Linked DNA regions of Mus musculus: all the other regions are reported to be linked to region 3. The links are microRNA targets in miRTarBase. Many come from high-throughput screens and were not tested one by one. Region 3 holds a microRNA gene; each other region holds the end of a gene's coding sequence. Distances are between the middles of the regions.

Region 1 (4,087 bases), not on the chromosome of region 3:
CTTTGAACATAAAACTTTGTTTCCACTCACAAGCTAAAGTTATAATCTATATATTTCTGATCAGCCAAGAAATCGTCAGGTTGCCATGCAAAATTTAAAATCTGTCATGCTATTAAAGAAAGAATACTGGTGATGCTGATCTTTAGATACTTTTTAGATGCCTATTTATAGATAGCCAATCAAAACGAAGAGGAACTACTGTGTTAATATGGATCACAGGTCAGACATTGTGACATGCAGGGAGCATGTCAGGGGATGCTCAGAATAAACTATAAAATAGGCACCATTATCATTTCACAGACAAGTAGAATTATACAACAGAGAAATCTTCTAACTTGTTCACTACTACAAAGCTAGCCATTGGAAGAATATGACTTAAAATAGTATATTTTTAACAGTGAAGCTTTTTTCCCTATTAAAGGTATAGAGTACATGGAAGCAGTATTCAGTAGCTTATTGGTAGCTCTTTTGCTATTACAAGTTCATTGAGTTAAAATATTCTGAGAGCTGCTCTACCTATCAGTCCCTATGTAAATCTCAAGAATAATAAGTGACCCAACTTACAGCCAGACACTAAGTGGATCTATCATGGTAGGAGCCTACCAAGACCTCATCCTGACTCCGTTCTCATTCTCTCTCCAGGTATATGAACAGGATGACTTGAGCGAACAAATGGCAAGTTTGGAAGGGCTAATGAAGCAACTCAACGCCATCACAGGGTCTGCCTTTTGACACTCATTGCCAAAACGTTGAGATCTTCTGGGAACTTTACAGCATACCAATTATCCATAAACAGCACACCTGTGTCCAAAAACTCTTACCAGTGTACAGGTCAACCATCTGGACCATTCGGTTAAGGAACATCTGAAGCACTTCAGAAGAAAACAGTATCCCATCCTATATGGACATCAGGAGTATACGATGATGGTCATGAGGTCCCGAAGATGCATCTTCACTGCAAAGTCAAGGCTGAAGCTGCTAGCATAGTTCTGGGTCTTTGTCACTGCAGGGACCATGGTGTCATAACTAATGCCTACATTTTCCTTCAGTGAGACCTTTCATTTTCTGTGTAGGTCTAGTCTCACAAGTGCATTATTTCAGCCTGTACCATGCCATAACAAATCAATACAAACTCACTATTTTTTTCAGCTACAGAGCATCCATGGTAACTCTCTCACTCCATAGCACCAAAGGATTGGATATTTTCCTGACAGCATAAAAGAAAATAAGTGAATAAGCAAAAGGCAGTGAATGCTTGTTTATAGCTCAATCATTCCATCTCACAAAAGTGGCTGATGTTAGTGAGTGGGTATAAACTTTTTACCAATTTTAGCAAGTATTTGTAAATCCATCCTTGATTAACGTTTATGTCTAGCAAGTAGAAACTTAAAAATCCTCAACTGGTGGCATCCTGCCAGCAACAACACCTTTCTAGAAGGAGAATACAATATGCAATCTTCTCAGACACGTGGTGATTGTGTACTTGAGCTTGTCATAGGACATTTTTCGATTTCAGTGGCTTCTATGCCACTCCACACTGTGATGGCCTGTCTGGGTTTCACTAAGGCTTCTTCTTCAGGAGTTTGGCCAGAAAAACTCCACCATCCTCCATCCCCAACCATTCCCCTACTTCTCCTGGGCAAGTAGCCTTAGCTAAAATGGCCAACTCCATGCGTCATATATCCTGTGTCCCCAATATCCCTCTGTGGAGATAGTAGACTTCCTGAGAGCGAGCTCAAGAAAGAAAAGGAGCATGAAAAACCATATCCCAGGGTACCTTTTCATGAGTTGATGTCCCTTCCACCAATAGCATCTTCATTGAGCGAGCTGTGCCAGGCAACATTGACAGATGTTGACCACAGGTTTCTGTTGGCAAGGCAACCTTCCATCCCATGCCTAAGACAGTCAGGGAGGAGAGAGGGATGGGTGCCACTTCACATCTGCACATCATAACTCCTGTAGGTATTTTTCCATGCAGCATCTAAACTGTGGACTAGAATTTTAAACTTCTATCGCCATGTATCTACGGCTTGAAACCAGCTGAATATAAGAACATTCTGTGCATTCCCTTTTAGCCCATGAACTTTCAGCGGTATGTGGAGTTAATCCCTATTTATGCAGCTGAGTCGCCAAGAGGGAACTAGTTTGCATATTTATCAGTTAGGTGACTTGAAAACTTGATGAGAGTTTCAGCTGAATTATTCCTTTCAGCTCTGCCTTTGATTTCAAGCTTGAGTAGGTCATAATTTTAAGAGAGCATGGCAAGGATAGGATCTTTACAACCTAATAGCTCCTTTTATTAGGTGGGTAATTATATATGAATCCCTGAATGAAATATTTTGAGCAAAATGGCACTGTAACAGAAATAATAATTCAGATTATTTTTTTACAGTTTTATGTCGGGAAGGAAATCTGATGTCAAAGAGAGGGCTTGTTCAAATGGTTCATTAGAAAGTCTGGTCCATTTGCAAAACGTTTCCTTCAACAAGAGTGCTTGTTCAATTTACTGAGATTTTTTTTTTTTTCTGGAAGTACTTTCGAGGAACTATGTGATGTTATTCAATGGGACAGAATGCTTTTGTTCAATATTTGGGCACTGAGGTAGACAGCAGTTGACTGACCTGAAATAAAGCATTTCTTATCATAGCAATGAATATTTTAAAAATAATCCACTACTTCGAACTGGAAAAATGTTTACTGAACTACCATAACTTCCTCCACTCCCCAGAGTGTATTCCCCTGTCTAATAATAAAAAGAAAGGAGAGCCACTTTTTAGAGGCATTTGATATCAATGAGAGTCACCTCAAATTTCAGGTTGGGGTTTGCTACAAACCTCAAATTTCAAATTCCATGGAATAAGTTATAATGAAAGGTGTTCTGTAACATCTAGTTGTAAAGTTAAGACAACCAGAATTTTTATAAAACTCGAGGTTTTTCAAACTTTCAATGATTTCAGGGAGTGTAATCTTTAAAAGTTGGATGTATGCTTTCCATTTTTAGTCAGAGTTATATTTCCTCCACAACTCTTGAAAAATTCAGTAAACAAATAATTTATTTTAGCAATTGGTGACTCTTAATAAGTCGTATTGTCATGCCTTGAATATACATTGGAACCATGAGACTGGTTTCATTAACTCAGTGATTGTAACATGTATTTAGTCCAACACGGCTTCTGCTGAGCTCTTGTTCCCATCATCTTTCCAGTGGCTCACGTGTACACAGTAAAATTCCCCAGGGTTCCAGGTGGCAAGTGAATTCCAAGGTCTATGACGGTGTGAGGCAGCCTGAATTTGTCTAGCTTGTGTGTCTAGCTCACTCCATACAAGACCCTTTAAACTTATAAATCTCTTTGAGCCCCACAGGGCAAAGCTGAAGAGGCAGCCAGCATCTCTGCCACCAGCAGTTAGTTCTCTGGAAATGGGAAAAAACATCAAACTTGGCAGGAGGACTCAGGATTTTATACACTATGCTCAAATGAAAAGCAAGAGCCTGCTTTTAAGAACTTTGCTATATTTTTTCTATTTCATTTTGATAAGAAAGTAATTTCCATTCCTCCAGAAATTTCTGCATTTGTTTAAACTGACAAAAATAAAGAGGGCTCACAATATATTCAAAACATTTGTATAATGCTTTAGTCAAAAGTTAAGTATTTCTTAGTGCTTATAGCTGCCTCCATATAATAGACCCATAATCTTCTAGAATATTTAAGTAATACAGCTTTATATTTGGCTCTTATTAAATACATACTCAGTTCAACAACCCAGAAATAAAAAATTCAAACCAATGCTATAAGAATCCGACTTACTTAGGGATTTCTTTAAGGAACTGGACATAGTAGTAGTAGTTTGGGTTTTTTCAAAATGAAGATTGCTAAGAATGAGGCATGTGCTCAGAAAAGGTGACAGTTACAAAAAGAGACTCCAGATTAACGTTTTTAAGCCAAAGGGTGTCATTCATTGGCTTTCCCAAGAAACAACTCCCCAAGCATGGGTCCAGAGTTTGTTCTCAGAGATGATTGTCGAAAGTTCCCTCTCCTTTGGAGCCTTCTCCTAACTTTTTTACTCTAGTCAAAAGTTAAGTATTTCC
Region 2 (4,087 bases), 22 Mb from region 3:
AGTCTGTACCCCAGAAGACCAGGAGACGGTGAGCTGGGTCAGTGGTAAAGACTGTCGCCATCAGGCCTTTGGCCTTAGTTCTACATCAGGCTCCACATTGCAAAGGGAGCGCTGACTCCTATATGTGTGCTTATATAGACACACAGAGACCCTGAGGAAGATGCAGGCAGCCATTTGTGCCCACACACTCTTGGCTGCCTTTGTCCTGAGGCCTCTGCTATCTTTTGACTAAAGGGGGAGGGTCTAGGAGCTATACTAGGGTCTGGAAATAATGAGGCACAGACTTAAAAATCATAGTGAGGTGTTGCGGGCAGAAACCACAAAGGAATCTTATGTGGGGCACAGCCAGCTCCATGCTCCAGGTTGGAAGGTCCCTGCATTATCTTACAAGGACGCCAGAGACTGCTTCCCAGTAGACATGTGCTCATGACCCCATCTCTCCATCCAGGTGCTGAGCGACGTCCTCAGGGATCTCTATCACTTGCTGAAGCACGTGGTGCGCTTGGAACCTGATGACGTCGCCAAGCTGCATGCCCAGCTGGCCCTGGAGGAGCTCGATGAGATCATGAGGAACTTCCTGTTCCCGCCCCAGAAGCTGGAGAAGAAGATTGTGGTCCTGCCATAGACCTGGTTCACAGAACATGGAAGAAGGCAGGGGAAACCAAGCAGCCAAAGCAGTGGTCACACACCTCCCAGCAGGTGTCTCCACCGCCTCCTTGGTGCAGACCTGAGGTCTGCTATAACCTGAAGGTAGCTATACGGTGCTGGCACCACTTGGGTGTTCAGGGCTACCTTTCTAGAGCGTCCATTTGGTCACTCTGCATCTGGCCCAAAGCTTGTGCAGTGAGAAGGGTGAACCCCATCTAACTACACCCTTCATCGTCCCAGCCTTTAGAGGAGGCCTGTGTATAACTGTGGAGCATTTTCTTCCGGCTGGAGAAGCCGCCCCACCCCCCTGGTCCCACCTTGATATCCTGTCATAGGGAGATGATTCTGCCTGTGATGAGGGACAGGCAGAGCTATCATCTGGGTGTGCAGCTGTGGGGAGGGGAAGGAAGCATTGCTGCTTAAACTACACAATACGAGAGAATAAAAGAATAAAATTACCTTGGCTGGAATGATCAGCCAATGTGAATGCTGTCACCGAGCTGGTTGACTTTTGCAGAAGAAGAGTAAGCCCTGTCTGTCCTCTGGGGCCTTTTTTCTTTTTATTGCTCCTCTGTTTTTACTTGAGCTGCCATTCAGTCTTCTGCACCTCTCAGGGTGATGCTGTGACAGTGGAGTGGTCTGAGAAAGGCAGGCAGGGCTTATGTGGCACAGGAGTGGCCTGCCACCAGCTCACTGAAACAACTTCAGATTTAGCACTGTGTTCATCCGCTCTTGGATTTATGTATTTTGGTATTTTCATTGCAAAAGACAAGAAAGGGTTAAAAGAAGAAGAAGAAGGAAGAGGAGGAGGAGGAGACTGGGGAGATATGGAGATACCTTAGTCCCTGAAGTACTTATGCAAACTTGAGGACCTGCGCTCCATCCTCTGCATCCAGGTAAAAACACTGCTTGAGGTGGCATGTGCCTGCAGGCCTAAGGAGCAGGGGAGGGTGCAGGGACAGGTGCATCCTGGAGGCTCACAGGCTAGCCAGTCTAGTTAATTAGTCTGTGAGCTCTCAGCCACCAAGAGACCCCACCCCCATCCCTTTCTCTCTCTCTCTAAAAAAAAAAAAAAAAAAGGGCAGCGCCTCCTGGGAAACAGCACCCAACGTTGACCTTTGGCCTACACACACACAGACACACACACACACACACACTTACATGCTCGTACAGTGTCTGTTCAACTCATGAGCCCACATGAACATACGCATACATGAACATATATACACAGGCACAGTGTGTGTGCAACTTCGTCCACATGGAACGGAAAGGAAAAGGAAGCAACTGGCTGCTTCCGATAAGCCCGCTCTGTAGCCTACGCCTTTATAAGATGAATGCGGTGTTCATCGATCCCCAGCATCACAGAGATAAGTATAGGACTCTATCTCGGGACTTTATCTATCTCCACTTTCTGGGGTATCCTGATCTAAAGGAAGCAGAACTGTGACAGTGCAGGAGACTATGGAGTGACATTCAGGTGTTCTCGCCTGTTGGGAGCAAGCCAGATTACACAGCCTTCTCAGCTTAGCCTTCCCAGTAGGCATCGCCAGAAAGGTGCCAATCACTGATACAAACCACAGGCAGTGTGTCAAGCAAAGGATCAAACAAGGCTGCCGTCCGTGGCAGCACGTACCTCTGATCCCAGCACTCATGAGGCAGAGACAGGTGGACTTCTGAGTTCGAGGCCAGCCTGACCTACAGAGTGAGTTCCAGGACAGCCAGGGCTACACAGAGCTTGAATGTTTTGAAGGAATATTTCTATTCAGCTAGGGTAGCAGTATTAGTTTATATTTTTTAAATCAAGAGTGCCTATAAAGTCAGGGTTGGAGCTGCTTAAGCGAGTGTTACTTAGCCTTTAGAATACATCCAACCCAAGGCTGGAGAGATGGCTCAGCAGTAGAGTACACACTGATCTTGCCGAGGACCCAAACTTGGTTCCCAGCCCACATGAGATACTCACAATGGCCCGTGGCTCTGGCTCCAGCCGATTGACACCTCTGGCTTCTTAAGAGTACCAGCACTCAAGCCGGGCGTGGTGGCGCACGCCTTTAATCCCAGCACTCGGGAGGCAGAGGCAGGTGGATCTCTGAGTTTGAGGCCAGCCTGGTCTACAAAGTGAGTTCCAGGACAGCCAGGGCTATACAGAGAAACCCTGTCTCGAAAAACCAAAAAAAAAAAAAAAAAAAAAAAAAAAAGAGTACCAGCACTCACATGTACATAAACACACACACACACGTAATTAAAAGTCATTTTAAAATTATATATAATATATTTTAAAAGATAGAGCCTGCTTCGCAGGCCGAGTACTGTCCACGGCGTTTAGGCCAGTGTGCCTGAAGGTGTACACTGATGACTTTAAGATCTTCTCCATCTGAACACGTCCACCCCTCCCAGCCTTAGTCTCTTTATCTCTCTGTATAAGTGGACTCTTAGTTTGAACTGCTATCAAAGGACTAGAGTATTTGATTTTATTAATTTTTGGTGTTCTCAATTTGAGAGAGTAATTTTTTTCTTCCGGACTTCATTATCAAATTCAAAGGGAAGATGATTTAGTGACACCCTTGTAAGCATGACCAAATTATTAAAAACTGTCAGATAACTCTTCTAAGTCAGGCATGGTAGTTAACACTTATGACCATGGCGCTCACAGGGCTGAGACAGGAGGGTTTTAGTGAGTTCAAAGTCAAATATGGGCTGTATAGTGAGTTCTAAGACAGCTTGGATCACAGTATGGAATTCTATCTGAAAAAAAAAATGAAATCCTAGGGCCTGAAGATGTCACTGAGCTGCACACAGCGTTGGATTCAATCCCCAGTACCTCAAAAATCGGACACCATAGTGTAGACCTGTAATCCCAGCACTTTGGATAAAAAGGCAAAAGGATCATAAATTCGGAGCCATCCTCAGCTACATAGCTAACCTGGGCAACAGGAGACCCTGTCTCGGTTATAATTTTTACTGTAAATTTACTCATGTGTTTCTGAATGAAAAGCTCTAAGGAACGAGAATAATGGGATAGGAAAAGCACAAACGTAACTTAAAGGGTCCATCTGGGCCTGGTGACACAGACCTGTAATCCCAGCTCCTGGGGAGCTGAGGCAGGAGGGTGTCAAGCTCAAGGCCTGCCTGGGCTGCAGTGAGTTCATGGAAACCCTGAGAGGACAGGAGTCCTACCTCACACCTACCTCTATGGGAGGTAGCAGCATTGCTCAGCCTACATGAGGCCCTACACGCAATCCCCAGCCCTGAAAACAAACAAATGGCATGAACCCCAAAGCTGGCACGCGGCCGGAAGAACCCTGCTTGCTTGCATGATGGATCCTGAGTGGCCGAGCTCTCTGTCCCACCTCTGACTGTTTGTCCTTTCTCAAGGGGCAGTCCTCTTCTGCTTCCCCTATTAGTCCTTCCATCCCACATCTGTCACTGGCAAGCCTGAGAA
Region 3 (4,087 bases):
AGGCGCGCCACCATCCATCCTCCGAGCTCATGTAACCCCAAAGAAGAGGGGACCAAATCTCGGGGAACAATGCAGCCTGAAGCGTCAGGGGTGGGGATGGGGGTATCAGGTACCCATCCTCGCCTTTATGCACGGCGAGGAGACCTTGTTCCGCTGCAGCCAGGGTCCGTGCTCTAAGAAAGTCTGCCTATGCTTTACGTGGCAGACTGGGTCACAGTTCTCTAAGATCAACAGCGTGTCTCGCAGAACAACCAAGGCGTTCTTCTTTTAGTCTAAGTCCTACTCGGAGCGTCCTGGAGCGCCCGACTGCTTCCTGCCCCAAACCTCAGGCTGACACCCAGGAAGTGAAAGCGGGGACTGACAGCGCGATCCACGCCTCCGGGGGCGCCGGTACCTAGGGATTAGGAGTTCCGTGAAGTAGCAGCTAACCCCGGTCTCTCGGAACTCCTTGACTCCAGGATCCTCGCCTACACGAGCAGCCTAGTTCAGTTCTGGGGTGCAGAGATCTCGTCAAGGTAGACTAGCCTGCCACTGGGGCTGGTACCACTTGTACTGCCCCTTCTGACACACATACGTGACCTTGCGCTCTGGGCGCAGACAACCTGCTCCCTAGTGACCTTCTTCCCGCGGAGAGCACAGCAGGGTACCCGGAGGTGGGGTGGAGGGGGGAGCCCAGAGGACCAACCGGGAAAGCACGCGGAGAGAAACTTGTGTCTCTGAATCTCCAGCCAGGCAATCACTGGCAGAGCTGTGCGGGGAGGGGGCGGGAGGAAGGGAGGGAAGGGCTCTGGGAGGGAGGGGGAGGTCGGAGAGAGAGGCGGGTGCCAGTGGAGAAAGTCCTTGCTCTCCCGCTCATCTTTTCATTGCTCTCTCTCCTTCCCGCAGACAACCCGGACCTCCTCTGGGCGCCAGCTCCTCGGCTCCAACCCGTCCAGAATCAAGCGGGATTTTTTTTTTCTTTCCCTCTAGAAATTGGCTTTGGTGTGTCGCCCGCCCTCTCCCCTCCTCCTCGCAACTCCTCCCCTCTTTTTTTTCCTCCTTCTTCTTCTTCCTGAGACATGGCCCGGGCAGTGGCTCCTGGAAGAGGAACAAGTGTGGGAAAAGGGAGAGGAAATCGGAGCTAAATGACAGGATGCAGGCGACTTGAGACACAAAAAGAAAAGCGCTTCTCGCGAATTCAGGCATTGCCTCGCCGCTAGCCTTCCCCGCCAAGACCCGCTGAGGATTTTCTGGTTCTTAGGCGGACTTAAGAGCGTTTCGGATTGTTAAGATTATCGTTTGCTGGTTTTTCGTCCGCGCAATCGTGTTCTCCTGCGGCTGCCTGGGGACTGGCTTGGCGAAGGAGGATGGAGAGGGGGCTGCCGTTGCTGTGCGCCACGCTCGCCCTTGCCCTCGCCCTGGCGGGCGCTTTCCGCAGCGGTAAGTGACAGCCGGAGACGGGAGCAACCAGAGTGCCCGGGGCTGCCGAGTCCCCTCGGGCGAAGGGGTTCCAGCCCCAGCCACGGGACTTCCAGCCCCAGCCACGGGACGCGCGCACGGCTGCCGGGCGCAGGAAACTTGCCTGCGCAAGGAACGGAGAAGTCAGGGCGTCTGGGGCAGGAGGACCACAAACCCTCGGCCCCCTGCTCCAGTTGGTTGCTGGCTTCTCCTGCCTCTGTTTCGAGACAGAGCTGCCTACCTTCCCAGATCAGCACACCAATTATCTTAATAATGTTTCCTCCCAGAGGCAATTAAATGAGACTCCCTTTCAAAAATCTGATGGCTGCTGAGAGTTAATGAACACTTCACCGGGAGGACTTCCTGGTTCTCCTCAAAACACCCCTGCTCGGTTTCCTCTGGTGGGCGACACAGAGAGATAGCGGTCAGTCTTGGCGCTGGAACTCTCCGCTGCCTTTGTAAACCGTCTGTGATCAGTCTGAAGTATGAATGAAAGTCGCACTGTCAATAAAGGCTTTGGATCTATTCAGTGTGAGGTACCAGCGTGTCTGAGAATTCGTAACCCTGTTGCAGCTTCCAGTTGGCTTTTAAAACCACTCACTGTTAAGTAAATGAAAGGCAGTCCTGGGTATAAACAGTGCCTTGGAACATAAAGAGTGTGTTTAAAATGGGATCTGGTACAAATGTGTTCCACGTCCCCTGGAAAGGTGCTGAAGGCTAGGCAAGGGCTGATCGGAACAGTAGATCTTCATCATTATTATTAACTAATAGCTAAATGTTTACTTTGTCTGGCTCAGATTTCAATCAAAGTAATTAGGAGAAAAGTGCATCTACCACTTATTGTAGTATATTGTTTTAATAAGAGCTGAGCGGAGGGCTCTACCAGGAAGAATTTAAATCACTCCTTTATGATAGAAGTTAATCTCCTTAATGTGCTTTCCCCAGGTTTTGTGATTTCAACTATAGATCTCCCCCAACAGGTACCAAGCAGTGTTCTCAAAAGATATGCAAAATTTTTGTGAACACGGCTGGAATTCAATTTATTAATGAATTCGAGTTGGCGGCATCTTCCTATATACTCTGGAAGGGAAGCCAAACACTCAAAAAATCATGAATGTGGAGTTCAATTTGTTAATGAACCTGAGTTGGTGGAGTGCTTCTATACTCTGGCAGGGAATGAAATATCTTTTTCCTCTAACAGAAAGAACTCAAATGTTTAGAACTCAAACGGTTATCCTTCATAATGCGTAAGGATGGAGTGGAGGCCCTCAACTTTCCTAATGCTGCAACCCTTTTAGTACAGTTCATGCTGTGGTGACCCCCAACCATAAAATTATTTTTGTTGCTACTTCATAGCTGTAGTTTTGCTACTGTTATAAATCGTAATGTAAATATTTTTGGAGAAAGAGGCTTGCCAAAGGGGTTGAAACCCACAGATAGAGAACAACACTGGGTTAGAGCCATGTTGGGGTACCCAAAAGATGGTCATAATAACCAATGTGAAGAGCATTAAGACTTGTGTGGTACTGAACAACACACACACACACACACACACACACACACACACTTTTTAATTTTCTTAGCAGAAATGTGGGGGATGCTGAGAATCTGGACTCCACTCAACTGAAACCTTATTGCTATGCTTGAGGTGGCCAGGGCTGGCACATGACTCAGTAACTCTCTAGTCCTCTTAAAACCATATCCACCTCCTCCCAGTAAGTGTCTACTAAATTAATTCATTAACCTTATTTAGGACTAATGGTCCACAGTCATTAGGAATCGCTCTCTCCTAATCAAGTGTTAGAGAGACTGAACAGAGTGTGGGAGTCCAGCAGTCCACATTATCTTATTACACTGTCACTTTCTCAGAAGTCACAGATTAAAGTGCTCTGGTATGGTACCAACCCCACCTCACTGTCTTCTGAAGTGACTATCTGTCGACTGTTTTATTTCTCTCTCCTAACAGATGCCATGGTGGCTACACAGAGCTGGAGTGACTTAATGAGCTGGGGGGTGGGGCTGAGGGGGTCACTCTCCAAGATTTCTGCACAAAACAAAATAATGCCAGAGCCTCTGCAGAATCACACCACTGAGCTGGCTAACGTCATTAGCTGAGATTCTGAGCGTTGGTTGCAACATTAGTTCTTCTTGAAGACCTAAAGCTTTTAAAAACCAATGGGAAGCGAATCTGTAGGACCAACCCACTCCAATCTAAGAAACAGCCAGAAACATCTAGCAATTGGAGAAAACAACATAATTTATATTGTCTTCTTTTTAATTTATGGGAAATGACTTCTGTAATGCATGTAGCTTTATGCATTTTTGATGTGCACTTCATCTTTCATTTCCATTTGACCTGGTTTTCCTGTAATAAAATTCCTTAGATTTATAAATTCATGCTGAGAGCAAAGAATGCCATTCTCTTTCCACAGGGAATCTATTAGATGTAATATTAAAATCTATATATACCATTACTGGATGTTTGTGATTGATAGGCTTATACATTTCAATATTTCATACCTGTACTTCCTACATAGTTTATGCACCAAATTTTTATTGCCTAAAATTAAGCATCAATAAATGGGGTGGCATTTGCAGGCTGTGGCTCTCCTGTGCGAAACCCATAATAGAGAGTGACAGTAGCGATCTA
Region 4 (4,078 bases), not on the chromosome of region 3:
GTTTTTGGCTTCTGATGCAAAATGGGAATGTGTTACTCTTTGAAACCAGACCAAGCCCTTCAAATTCCCAGGTGAACAAAGCTCGTCTCTGGGAAAGTCTAGGCATCCAAAAACTCATTCTGTCTGCATGGGGGTATGAACTGCGGGGACACAGGAGAGCCTTGGGTACCACCATGGAGGTCTGGTGTCAAAGGATAAAGAGAACACAGATGAATGAGTGGCCTATAGACAAGTTTATCCTGGTTTTTATTTCAGATAAGAGAGCCTCAGACACTGCAGTCAGGTAGCATAGATCTGTGGAGCTGTCCGAGGGTTTCTTCTGTCTGTAACATGTTGAATCTACAGACACCCGGGGACCTGTTAGAATTTGGACTCTTCAGTTTTTACCCAGAAGTGCCATTAGCATTTAAGGATGATACTCTTCCATGCCCTCCATAATCACCAAGGCCAACACAGCAATCCGCAGGAAGCCTCCGGCCATTGCTAGTACAGTGTTAATAGGATATGACCAACCTCAGCTCAAACTAGTCAAGGGCTTTGATGGACTCCTTCAAAATGAAAAACTAAGGACAAATATCCAAAAGAGGGGGACAGGGTCTATGAGGTGAAGACACCTCAAACATGGCAAACAGGACCTGTGAAACACTATGTACTGAACCTTCTTCTCTGCCTCCTGGCTCCTCAACACTCCTTCCAGGCCAGAGAGGAGCCATGGTATCTCAAACAGGTCTCTCAACTTGATGATCCAATGTGGGTTGTGCAAGGACCACATGCAATCTCTTTAGTGGAAAGGACGCATTCATATCTCTCAGGAGTAAACGGGGTTGGTATGATACCTGTATGAACTCAAATAACAGCAAAGGTCTTTACTCCCATAGTGAAGAGTTCATAGCCATAAGGAGTCTTTTTATGTGTGTTCCCAGTCCATTTGTGTACAGACCGTCGAATGGATGTGCATGACTTATATGCCCATACATGTAGGAACCAGGGCCTCCAGTGTTGTTCCTCCTCAGGCTCAGTCCTGAGACAAGGGTCTCACACTGGGACCTGGGGCTTGTGGATTCTACTGGGCTGTCTGTCTAGCCAGCACCACGGATCCACCCATCCTCATCTCCCGGGCACTGGTATAACAATGCACACTGTCATTAGGCCTCATTCATGGATAATGGGGATAGAACTTGGATGTGCTTGCTTGCATGGCAAGTACTCTTACTGCCTGAGCCATTTCCCTAGCCCACACTAAGGGTTTTTTCCCCCTTCAAGTAAATAACTAAGTATTGTATATAAGAAACCAGAAAAAAATAAGAGCACCTTAAGAACTTATAAAAATAATTTAAAGTTCATATGCCTGATTTTCAGAAGTCTTTCATCCATCTTGTTTATTACAGAAATTTCTAGCTCTGCATCAAGCACAACACAGTGAAATATTATATTGATTTTTTTTTTAATCATCGCACCGGCATTTGCAAACACACAGCCAACGTTGTAAGTAAAATATTCTGAAGTAGTGATCCGAACCTGAAATCCAAAAGGAAAGTATCTGACGACAGAAGCCTGTCTCAGATGCGCCAGGTGGGTTCTCCTTCATCATGTGGGATCGCCATTTGAGGACATGTTACTATGGAGCAAGTCGCTCATTTCCATGAGCAACTTTGAAATGTATGGTACCCATATAGTATCCTAACACGTGACCTTGGGGCCTCTGGGTTTAAGTGCAGATGCAAATAAGCAACTTGAGAGAACCGGGGTGCAGCTCTCATTTGGATCTCACAGGGAGCCTAACAGTAGACGTCCACATCACTGCCTGGACAGGGCTCCTGAAGATTTTCACAGAGATCATAGAGTGTGGTTTTGTGGGAGGTGTGCTCTGTTTCAGGGTAGAGTGACAGGGAAGTTTAAGGTATATCAAAACTAGGTTCCCAAGCCAGGTGGAAGGACTGCTGTATGTCTAAGATGGTGCATTGTAGACCAGCCTTGGCTATAGAGACTCTGGCTCAAGTCCTAACATGGCATCAGGGAGCCACCTGGACAGCGGGCTGCAGAGGGCATTTGAAAAGAGATGCCAGAGCTTCCCCTGGGCATGAGGGAGACGGCCGTGAACCTCTGCAGGCCAGTGAGCTCGTATACAGTCCACAGCAATCAAAATACACACAAAACCACCGTGGTGGCAGAAGGGTTACCATGGCCTCCAAAGGTCACGAGAGAACAAGCCAGGAGCTTAATGGCTTTCCTGACTCCCAGAGGGAGCCACACACTCAGGGCCGAGTTTCTCCATCAGTGGGCGCCCACAGCAGATGACAGTGGCTTTCATTACATTCCTGTGAACTATGTGGACCACATGAGACCTTAACAGAGCCCAGTGACTACAAGGGCAGTGACTCTAGGTTTTCTTTCACAGAAAGAGTAACAGTCCATTCTACTGCTTTTTTTCTTTTTTAACTCTTCTTTCTATCTTTTCCTTTTTTTTTTTTTTTTTTTGTTCCTGTCTCCTCTGACCCTAACAATGAAATTTAAATAGAAAGATCTGTCTTTGGAGTAAAACACCCTTTAAGAAAAATAATACTTTCAAAGTAAAGCAACTCTTTTAGCAAAATACTTTTCATTTTTCACATTGTTCTGAGACAGTTCACAGCAACCTTCTATCAGCTTAAAGAACATTGCTCAAATTATTACTTTTTTTTCTTTCCCTTAGACTGTGGGGGGAAAAAAAACTAAGAAAAATGAGTGATTCGGAGATTCTAGAAGATCAGAGTGTGACATCCACAGAATGAGGCTCTTTGGACTGTCTATCACACTTAACTTTTAATGCATTCATGACGGCTATAAGCCTAAGGATCTGGCTAGGATGCTCACAACAGCAGCCCAGTGACAGTAAAGAAATAAATAATATCTGCAAAGAAAATAATTTAACTTCCGGAAACTATGTTTCTTAAAAAAAAACAACCAGTGTCTTTAGCGGCATCCTTCCTGGTGGGCGTAAGTGCTGCTGAGTCCACACTAGTGGCTCCTCCTTGCTGGGTAGCAGGACGCAGAAGGTGCTGAGATGCCGCGGACACACGCTGCCTTAGGGACTACCCTTGTAAGGTAAGGCATTGCAGTTACGGAGAGCTAGACAGTGCACGCTAAGGAAATGCCTGCTGCAGATGCGTTAAGGCATAAATAGCCCAGCCTTGAGCTATGAGGAATGGGGAGAGATGCAGCTGCGTCACAGGCCACCTTTAACCAAAGCAATTAAAGAGCTTATCACCTAAAGTGAGACAGTCGGCAATACTGCAAGGGAACGTCTAAAAAGTCAAAGCCAAGGCTAGGGCTGAGACCCAGCGAGGCCCATGTTCCCTTCACTTAGACTCGGGACACAGCCTGTGTGCAGAAGGTGGCATGGATGTCTCTGTCGTGGAAATGTGTCCCTGATGCTACTGATCCCTATGCACATCAGAGTTCCAGGGGGTAGGGGCACAGTGATACTGAGACAGGCTCTCAGGTGGCCTGCCCGCTGATAAGGGGTCATCACCCGTATTGCACATTAACTAATTGCTGGAGCAGACGGGACTGGAGGGTGCAGCATGAGGTGTGCTAAACCCAAACAGAGGGCTGCTCTGCACACTCCTAGTGCACCCAATCCTCTTGCAGCCTATGGGATGAGATGCAGCCTCTCTCCGCCCTCCATGCTTAGAAGTGTCACCCTGGGGCGAGCGAGCGAGCGAGCGAGCGAGCCGAGGGAGAAATGCTTCTCTCTTAGGCAGGTGGCCACATATCAGCCTTCCCAGCAGCTCCAGGGTCCCCACAACCTATCCTTTAATGCTCGGTCGCGTCAAGCTGAGGCTGAATGCATGTCCTGGTTTTCAAAAGGTGGCAGTGGCTCTCTCCAAAAGGTGAAGTTACTGAAAGTGTCTGAACAGGGGAAGTCACAGGAATGGCTTCTCTTTAGCAATGGGAAGACGTGATCGACCACTTCGCAGAGCCGCACGTACCTGGAAGGTAAAGGAACAGTGAGGTCACTGCCCACGGAGTCGTACCTGATACATGAAGGGCAATGCCAGACTCTGGGCTGCACTTCAGGCTGGGGAAGGGTACACTA
Region 5 (4,087 bases), not on the chromosome of region 3:
GGCTGCTGGGTGTCTATGGCTCCTGGATGCCCCTGCTGGTGTATGGAGTGGTGCCAGTGTTAAGTGGCCTAGCTGCACTGCTGCTGCCTGAGACCAAGAACTTACCACTGCCTGACACCATCCAAGACATCCAGAAACAGTGAGTGGAGCCGCCTGCAGACCACCTCCTCACTCCCTCCTTCCCCATCTCCCAGATCTCCTCCCTCCCTCCACAAAAGCCCAAAACAGGCTGGGCACTCACCCTTCTCAAACAAAGGAGAAAGCAGAAGTCAAGGGAGGGCTAGCATGGACCAGAGTTACACCACACATCAGGAGAGTGGAGACCAGGGTAACAGGTGGATTTTAACCCTCAGCCTCCATTCCACCATGTGGAGGAAAAAATGGCCCAGCCACCCCCAGGTCCACCTTAGAGAAGTGGAGGGGGAGAGGACACGTGAGCAAGCTGGCGTTTGTCACGGGGAGGGGGGGTGATGGGTGTGGCTGGGAATTTCACAGGTGGCAGACTCTGCCACTAAAGTCATTGGGTGGTGACATGGTTGGACAACCCACCCCACCCTGACATGCTCAGTAAGTTCAGACCTGAGCCCCAGGCAGGGTGCTCAGACCTGGGCATGGACACACAGGTCAAAAGTCAGGGGTCATTCTGCTCCTTAGAGTCACACATCTCTGTCTTTCCTGAACAGGTCAGTGAAGAAGGTAACACATGACACACCAGATGGCTCCATCCTGATGTCTACCCGGCTGTAGTTGCCTGGAGAAGGAACACAGCCACAATAAGAGGAGGAGGAAGAAGAGGAGGAGGAGGAAGAGGAGAAGAGAGAGAGAGAGAGAAGGAGGAGGAGGAGGAGGAGGAGGAGGAGGAGGAGTAAAGGGCAGGGCTGGCGACGGCGGGTAAAGACACCTGCCTCCGGGCCTAAATTTCTGAAACTCATGTGACAACAGACTTCACAAAGTTGTCCTCTGAGCTCCGCATGGACACATACCCGCCCCCGGTGATACACACAAATAAATAATTTTTAAAAGAATGAAAATGAGGAAGAAGAAAGGGAGAACAAAAAGGAAGGACGGAGGAAGAGAGGGAGCAGGGGGATGAAGTGGGGATGAGGGGGCAGGGGGAGGAGGAGAGGAGGAGATGGCTTCTTCCAGGTCCTGCAGAACAGCCACGGGAAGCAAAGAGCTCTATCCCTGTAATTCCGTCTGAAGGACAGAAGGCTGCCCAGACACCATTACCCTGACTTCCCCAGCAGCTGCACACCAGAGAGAGGCCAAGCCTAGGGGACACCTTCTCGCTGCCCACCACCCAGCCTACTGCACGACTCAGAACTGAGCACCTCAGCACAGGCAAAGCAGCAGCAGCATCTCAGGGTCACTGCGGGCCTCGGTCGGCTGGCCTGGTCCCTCTCCAGCCTCTCCTCACTCCATGTGCCCGTCCATGTCTGCCTGGGTCTCCGTCCCACATGACACCCTCTAGACCCTCCAGACCCACCTTCCAGGGTTCAGGGACAACTCATGACTCTGATGGCATTGTGAACCATGGTTAGGGCCACACATCTGCCACTCCTCACCCTCCGCCACACACACACCACATACACACATGTATACATACATGCACACACATACCATATTCATGTACACACAAGCATCTACCTGTGTGACTGCTCCTAGGCACCTCAGAGGAAGGCTGCAACACACACACACATACCACATATACATACATGTACACACATACCACATCCATGTATACACAAGCATACACAGAATGTATACAGCTGCAGATACATATGCACAGTCACATGTGTGCACTTGCACAAAAAGGGTGGGTACGAAACAGAAAACAGCCCTTGTCTTAGATGTTGGTCCTGCAGTCCTGCTCCTCGGCTGCAGCTCCTGAACCTCTGGGAGACTATGTCCTTTGGCTATGTGTACATGCACACAAGCACAAAACACACACGCGCGTGCATACACACACACACACACACACACACACACACACACACACACACACGCACGCACGCACGCACACTCGCACACTTCCTAGTGACACTCCCCCAGATGTAAAGGTAAAGCTAAGATTATATTTACACTGCCTGCTGCCTCAGGACAAACTTGTTCTGCTGCTCTAGGCCCAGCTGCATTTCCTGGGGGCAACAGGGTTCCTAGGAACTTCCAGGACACAGAGCTCAGTGGAGAGATGGATGTTTCTCTCTCCTACAGTATTCTTCTAAGTCAGAGACGTTCCTTCGTCTGGATTCTGAACGGCCACCCCTGGTTATCCAGGTGGCTAAGAATTTTCAGGACAAAGCGTTCTGTCACTCTGGGAAGTGGCAGCATCACTGTCTTAGAGTCACCTGACAAATCTCTGGGCTGTGGCCCACACCCATTTAGACACACCCTCTTTTTAATGCCTACTTTGGAGGTTTCTAACCTCAAAGCTGCTGAGATACCCTCACAGTGGAGGAGCCAAGAGACTCTTTCGGAAAGGTAAACCGAGTCAAAGCCACATCCAGAGCTCTTTAGAAAACAAAGCATTTGGGTGTCAGGTCTTGGCCTTCTGATGCAGAGAGGGAGATGGAGCCCCAACTACAAGGCAACCAGGGTGATGGAGCCGTCCTTTCAACTCCTAGAGTACATTCCTGCCTCAACCAGGGTCACCATAACAACGGCTGAAGTGAGAGTAAAGGCATTCCTTCCAGGCTTGTCCCCAAGGAACTCCCGCTGTCTGTTTTCTGTGACTAACAATGCAGGTGAGGACAGGGCTCTGAGCCTGGGCTTTGAGAAGAGAACAGTAACACAGGGCCCAGGAGTGAGTCCATGACCAGCTGGGGACAGGACACCCTGGGACAGCGCTGCCCTGGTCAAAGCCTCCCCAGACTCCCACAGGAGAGTCAGTGTGACCTCCCCAGGCTCCCAGACCAAATCTGCCCAAGATGGCAAGCGGGGCTGGAAGCCAATGGGTTCAGAAGGCCAAGGAGAGGCCACACTCACAGAGAGCCAGCCACCCAGTGGTCAGCACTCCAGGGTGGTGGCGTGCTACAGAGCTGGGAAGCAGAGCCAAGAGGTGCAGGCAAAGTCACAGGACAGAGGAACAAGTACTCAGAGGGATTCGGCCACTGCTACACTTGAGGCCCTGAACTAGCCACTGCCAGCCACCTTGGCCACCAGGAAAGACTACTTTCCTCCAAATACTGGACAAGATGTCAGCCATCTGGTAGGATGTCAGCCATCTGGTAGGACATGAGTGACCGGTGCAGAGCCTCGGAAAAGAGGGCAACATGATGCCATCGGGAACCCCAGCCAGATGCCAATCTCCCTCCCTCCCACACAAGCCGAGCCTGTCTCCCACCCTCAGCCCACTCAGCAAACACTTGCAAGCCAGACGTACAACAGTTGTCCAAGAGCCCAATGTTGTATTCAACTCAAGTCAGAGGGCTGGTTCAGGGAAACGGCTCAGTGATGGTGCAGTGGGCAAGGCCATTTGTCATCAAGACTGAAACTTCAATCTCATCCTCAGGCCCTACATTGTGGAAGCTGAGAACTGATCCCTCTAAGATGTCCTCTAACGGTACACACATCACACACAAAGTATTTAGAGGAAACTTAGCAACTGTCAGGTGCACCCACTGAGAGCACCCACCCCGAACAAACTACACAGGACTGGTGGAATTTGGAAAGTTTTTGTTTTCTTTTTCCCACACATTTCCGGGTTTGGGGTGTTTTCCAAGACTCAGACACATTTGTTAACAAAGAGAAAAAAAACTGGGGGAGCAGGGAGCCCATGGGCAGAGAAGTGACCCCAGCCATCCGCAGACACAGCCTCACTCCCGCCATCCCCTGCACCTGCAGCTAGCTGGTGCCACAGACGCAGCTCTGGTACCTCGATTATTTGTTTTTAATATATATCTGCATTTGCCTTTCCCCTCCCCCCGCCCCCCCACCCGCTCCTCCAGCGGCTTCGGCTTCCCAGCAATGCACGTTGCCCGGCAGCAGCGACACACACAAAAGGCCTTGGCCAGGTCCAGGTCCAATCCCTGGGCAGCCCCAGGCAGGAGGGGACTTGGGGCACTAGGAGAATGAACCCTACTGCCCC
Region 6 (4,087 bases), not on the chromosome of region 3:
GACTGAAATCGGGCCTGGGAGCATGGCGAGCTATGTCCCCACCCCACCATGTGACCTTCGACTAAGATAAGTCTCTGCCGGAGTTCTGGGCTCCTCTTCCTTATCCATCCTACAGAGTGGTGAACGAGAAGGTTCCTGAGGTCTCCTCTGACTGTGACATTCTGACAGTCTATGAATAGCAAGGACACAGGACAGGTGCGAGCTGATTGCCACGTGGGAAGCTCACACCTGTCTCTCCCCGGTGTTTCCGCCCCTCACTTCCAGCCGTGCCAAACTCCAGGCTCTGTCAGGGTCAAGTTGCCAATTTTGAAACTGTTCAAGGACAGTTGTCCTTCTGCGTGAGGCTCCTTTGAGCCCAAACTGGCCTTCTCTCTACTCTGCAACTCACTCTGCCCGAAGTTACTAGACTGTACGTTACCACTAATTGATCTCTGTTTCCTCTTTCAGATTAAAATCACTCACAAAAACCAGGCACCTATGATGATGGGGCCTCCCCAGAAGAGCAGCTTTTTTTCTCTGAGGAGGAAAAGCCGTTCAAAAGACTAAACAATATGCCAAACACCAGCTCTACTGAGAAAGGAAAGAAGAATCTACACACACACACACACACACACACACACACACACACACACACACCTGTAACCAGAGGAAGCCAAGCCACCTTCCAGAGGAAAGTGCAATCCTGCCATGCAGTCTACCTGTTTTGAAAATGGATCCACTCTTAACAGAGCCAATACCCATGAAATATTCCAAATGGACTCAGGGCCCACGAAGATGGGTTGGCTCATGCAGCAACTTTCACATTCCCACAGGCTTTGGGTAGACTTTGAGCCTGCAGGAGAAATCTCCCTTTTTCTGTGCCACACTCCTGTAAGGCTCCAGGTTGTAGGTTTCCTGCCTACAGCAAGATCGGATGTGGTCAAGGGAAAGAGCTCCAACCCAGAAACCTTGCACAAAAGTCCTTCTGTATAAAAACAAAACAGCCCACAGCTCTGCAAGCAGAAGCCTTGGCAGGGCTCGGCGAGCACAGGATGGTTGCTTTGCTGTCCTTCAAGTAACAGCTCCCCCCTTAACTTGCAGGGGAAAGCCAAGAAGCTGTGGAAAGCCGTTTCCATTCTTGGTTCCCTCTGCTGTCCATGGGTACTTGTTCGCTTCCTGAAGCATCTCTTGGTGGCTGTTTTGCTTAGAGAGCAAACAAGGCTGCCCGGGCAGCGTGCTTTAGATGTGGTATTTATTTTCATAGTTCCTATGAACACTTGGGAGGAAGAGCTGAGAAAGTGGACTTTATTTTTCAAATTTGATGTCATAATATTGTGTAAAAAGGAAAGAAACAGAAAAAAAAAAAAAAAAACACTCCCAGTATTCCCCACTCCTCACTACCATACAAGCCAAAGTGTGTCACTTTGAATCCCAAGCCCTGGTGGCAGAGACGATGGGGGTATGGGTTTGGGGGGACTTTGCTGGGAAAACCAGGAGACTGTTACGGGACTCCCTGTTTGCACATCTCACTCTCACAGTGTGGCAGAGGGGCCTTCTGATGGTCTTCTCTACATACCTATGTAGCGTATTTGTTTATATATAATATATAAATATTTATTTACTGCTGGACTTTTCCTGATTAGAAATAAACATAGTGTGGGAACAGGACATGGGAAAGAAAAAAGAAGAAGGCCCTTACTCTTCCACTGTCGTTTGCTTGTAGAGACACATTTCTCTGGCTGGTTTCAAGGTTTATGAGAATTATCTACATCCGGGGAGCAACTATGAACACGTGCTGTTCAAGCCTCATTCCCCCCCCCCCATTGGTTGATAAGGAAACTGAGTTGTGGAAAAGTTAAAGACTTCTCCATTTTATTGTGGATAAGGAGGTTTGACTGTAAATGTTACTAAGAAGGTCACTAACAAACAGAAGAACCTGCATCTGGGGAAAGGGTTATTTCTTGTCACTGAGGATTGGTCGATGTTGGATCTAGGTTCCCAGCAAGGAACCATCTTATAGCCTGTGTGTGGATGGAGCAAGCCCACACAAGAAAATGGGAGGTGGAGAATTGAGCTAACTTCCAAGTGCTTTATGGCTTGTCCTACATGGAGAGAAGTTGGCCTGATGTTAAAGGCACCAGACAGATCAATTGATTGAACTACTATGTCATCTCATCATGTCACCGATCTTCTTGCTTTGGATACCTTCCTGGGTACATCTGTGACTTCTGTAAGATGTTGCCAACCAGAACAGAAGAGTTTTGGCCCTGCTCAGTGGGCTTCAGTCAGCTGGTGCCAGCATCTTCCTCCTCTCTGGAGGGCAACTCTATACAGCATCACTGGTAGAAAGCAACAGTTGCCTCAGGCCCCTGGCTCCCCTGGACCTTCATTTCTGTCTCAAATTTCTTAAGAGGAAATCCAGGCCCAGTTTGACATCACTCCACTGAGCTGCCTCCAGTCTTGCCATAGCCAAGGAAGGGAATATGAAGAATCTGTACAAGTTGAGCCCACCTCGGAAGGAAGCACTCTCAACTAGAATCCAGGGCTGAGACTTGGAACCCTCCTGCTCAGCAAACATGCTTCTACTGAGCAAGGGAGACACCAGGCCACATAAAGAGCATACTGGTGGGATGCCTAGAGATGTGACCAGCCAGCTCCGGAGTAATAGCAAGCACTACTTTGGAAGACAATTGATTCAGAAACTGAGGCAGATTCAACTTCAAGGTCACGGATTCTAAAAATTTCACAGAAGTGTTTGTATATGTTTCAGCTCTGACCCCCACGAGGTCACAGATGTTGAGACAATACTATCAGTAGGTAAAACGGACTCACGAGTCTCTCGATGGGGCCCTGCAGAGGTTAAATGTTTCTTGAGAAACACAGCCCAGTTCTTTTCAAAGGCACAGAGTATAAAATGTGGCATTGCACTTCTAATTTGTTGTTGTTTAATCTTACCTTACAAATCATCTTTTAAACACCATGGCTGTGGTTTCTTATTGTGTAGTGCATCATCCAAGTGACTCCCACACCAAGCTCTACGGCTAGCCAGCAAAGTATTATTATTTCCACCTTGCAGAGGAGAGGGGGGGGGGCTTACTGGTGTTTAGTAGCTTCTTCAAGCTCCGTGGTCAAGGGAGAGCCTAGTCTCTCCTCTCTTCTCCTGCTCATATTCTTCTCACGCTGCAGACTTGTTCTCACCTGCCTTCCTGCTTCCGCCCCACTAGCAATAAAAACAATGAAACCGGAAACGTTTGGTGCACCTTGTCGCTGGGCTGGTGGGTTAGGAGCCGTGGTTCAGTGTGGTGTGGTTTTCATGGGGTTTCCCCGGTGAGTTGGGAACGGAGAGAGAATTTGTAGAAAGATTATATTCAGGTCACAGACCAACTCCTCTCAAGAGAGTTCATTCTACAGATGGAAAAAATACGTTAAATTCCCAAATAAATTAGGAAATACTTGGCAGAACCTTACAGAGCCTCCAGACTGGCATTATATAACATGCATATATATATATATATATATATATATATACACACATATGCACATTATATAAGGTGACATAGTACTTAATGTGCTGTATATATTATGTAAATTACATATTTGTGAGTAATCATGGTAAATATAGAGACCTACTAATCACTTTTTTACACATATTCAGTGACAGATTAGAAAGTTGCTTTGCCAGAGAGTCTTAAAACTTACTCTCTCCTGCTGCTTTGGTTCCAACTCCTGCCAAAAATAATTACATCAACCTTCCCCATCTCTAGCCCCCTCTTCTCTTAGCCAAAACCCTCAGTTACTTTCTGTCCCAGCTAGGCTGTGCCTTCCTTAATACTACCACAATCAGAAGACATAAAAATACAGAGTCCTGTGGATAAGCAGGATCTAGACTGATTCCCTGTGTCAAAGGCTTATACCTCAGCATTCCAAAGCAGGTGGGTGTCTGATGTCAACATTAAAGGAAGGGAGAGGGAACAGGAAGGGAAGGAGGAAGGCGCCTGCCAGCCCTCTGAGGAGGGAAACCATACAGTCAACGCTCAGTTACTAGTTCTAGGCTCCAACAGGAATCAGTGAGAACATAGCTCCAAGTGTTTAGTTAAAATTAAAATGA

What was found. The annotated mature microRNA mmu-miR-1903 reads CCUUCUUCUUCUUCCUGAGACA and lies in region 3 at 1,038-1,059, shown strand. An mRNA with a match to its seed (bases 2 to 7 or 8) in the 3' UTR can be bound and repressed. Matches are read on the target gene's strand: a 7mer-m8 pairs with bases 2 to 8, a 7mer-A1 pairs with bases 2 to 7 and ends in A, and an 8mer does both.
Region 1: the mRNA of Dcc is a reported target of mmu-miR-1903. The part of its 3' UTR that is shown has no 7-base or 8-base seed match.
Region 2: the mRNA of Tango6 is a reported target of mmu-miR-1903. Seed matches in the 3' UTR shown: 7mer-m8 at 645-651, 8mer at 1,165-1,172, 7mer-A1 at 1,432-1,438, 8mer at 1,434-1,441, 8mer at 1,437-1,444 and 7mer-m8 at 1,440-1,446.
Region 4: miRTarBase lists Lpin1 as a target of mmu-miR-1903. Seed matches in the 3' UTR shown: 7mer-A1 at 2,441-2,447.
Region 5: miRTarBase lists Slc22a12 as a target of mmu-miR-1903. Seed matches in the 3' UTR shown: 8mer at 787-794.
Region 6: the mRNA of Dgkg is a reported target of mmu-miR-1903. Seed matches in the 3' UTR shown: 7mer-A1 at 582-588, 7mer-A1 at 1,662-1,668 and 7mer-m8 at 1,664-1,670.

What each region holds. Positions count from the first base shown.
Region 1 is chr18:71,255,635-71,259,721 of GRCm38, reverse strand. It overlaps Dcc (deleted in colorectal carcinoma), which reads left to right. Exons shown (of 29, transcript NM_007831.3): 29 at 643-4,087. The coding sequence ends at 732. Among named protein-coding and RNA genes, the nearest start is that of Gm41772, 610 kb to the right of the region's middle.
Region 2 is chr8:106,849,731-106,853,817 of GRCm38, forward strand. It overlaps Tango6 (transport and golgi organization 6), which reads left to right. Exons shown (of 18, transcript NM_173037.1): 18 at 449-1,709. The coding sequence ends at 625. Among named protein-coding and RNA genes, the nearest start is that of Gm34197, 4.8 kb to the left of the region's middle.
Region 3 is chr8:128,358,214-128,362,300 of GRCm38, forward strand. It overlaps Mir1903 (microRNA 1903), which reads left to right and starts at 1,028; the gene lies at 1,028-1,107. It overlaps Nrp1 (neuropilin 1), which reads left to right and starts at 860. Exons shown (of 17, transcript NM_008737.2): 1 at 860-1,419. The coding sequence starts at 1,347. A930035F09Rik (a long non-coding RNA gene) reads right to left here and starts at 24. Exons shown (of 3, transcript XR_879381.3): 1 at 1-24.
Region 4 is chr12:16,534,602-16,538,679 of GRCm38, forward strand. It overlaps Lpin1 (lipin 1), which reads right to left. Exons shown (of 21, transcript NM_015763.4): 21 at 1,068-3,971. The coding sequence ends at 3,812. Among named protein-coding and RNA genes, the nearest start is that of Lpin1, 53 kb to the right of the region's middle.
Region 5 is chr19:6,532,789-6,536,875 of GRCm38, reverse strand. Slc22a12 (solute carrier family 22 (organic anion/cation transporter), member 12) reads left to right here. Exons shown (of 10, transcript NM_009203.3): 9 at 1-139; 10 at 684-1,022. The coding sequence ends at 747. It overlaps Nrxn2 (neurexin II), which reads right to left. Exons shown (of 23, transcript NM_001205234.2): 23 at 3,659-4,087. Among named protein-coding and RNA genes, the nearest start is that of Slc22a12, 8.2 kb to the left of the region's middle.
Region 6 is chr16:22,465,708-22,469,794 of GRCm38, reverse strand. Dgkg (diacylglycerol kinase, gamma) reads left to right here. Exons shown (of 25, transcript NM_138650.2): 25 at 448-3,227. The coding sequence ends at 546. Among named protein-coding and RNA genes, the nearest start is that of Etv5, 28 kb to the right of the region's middle.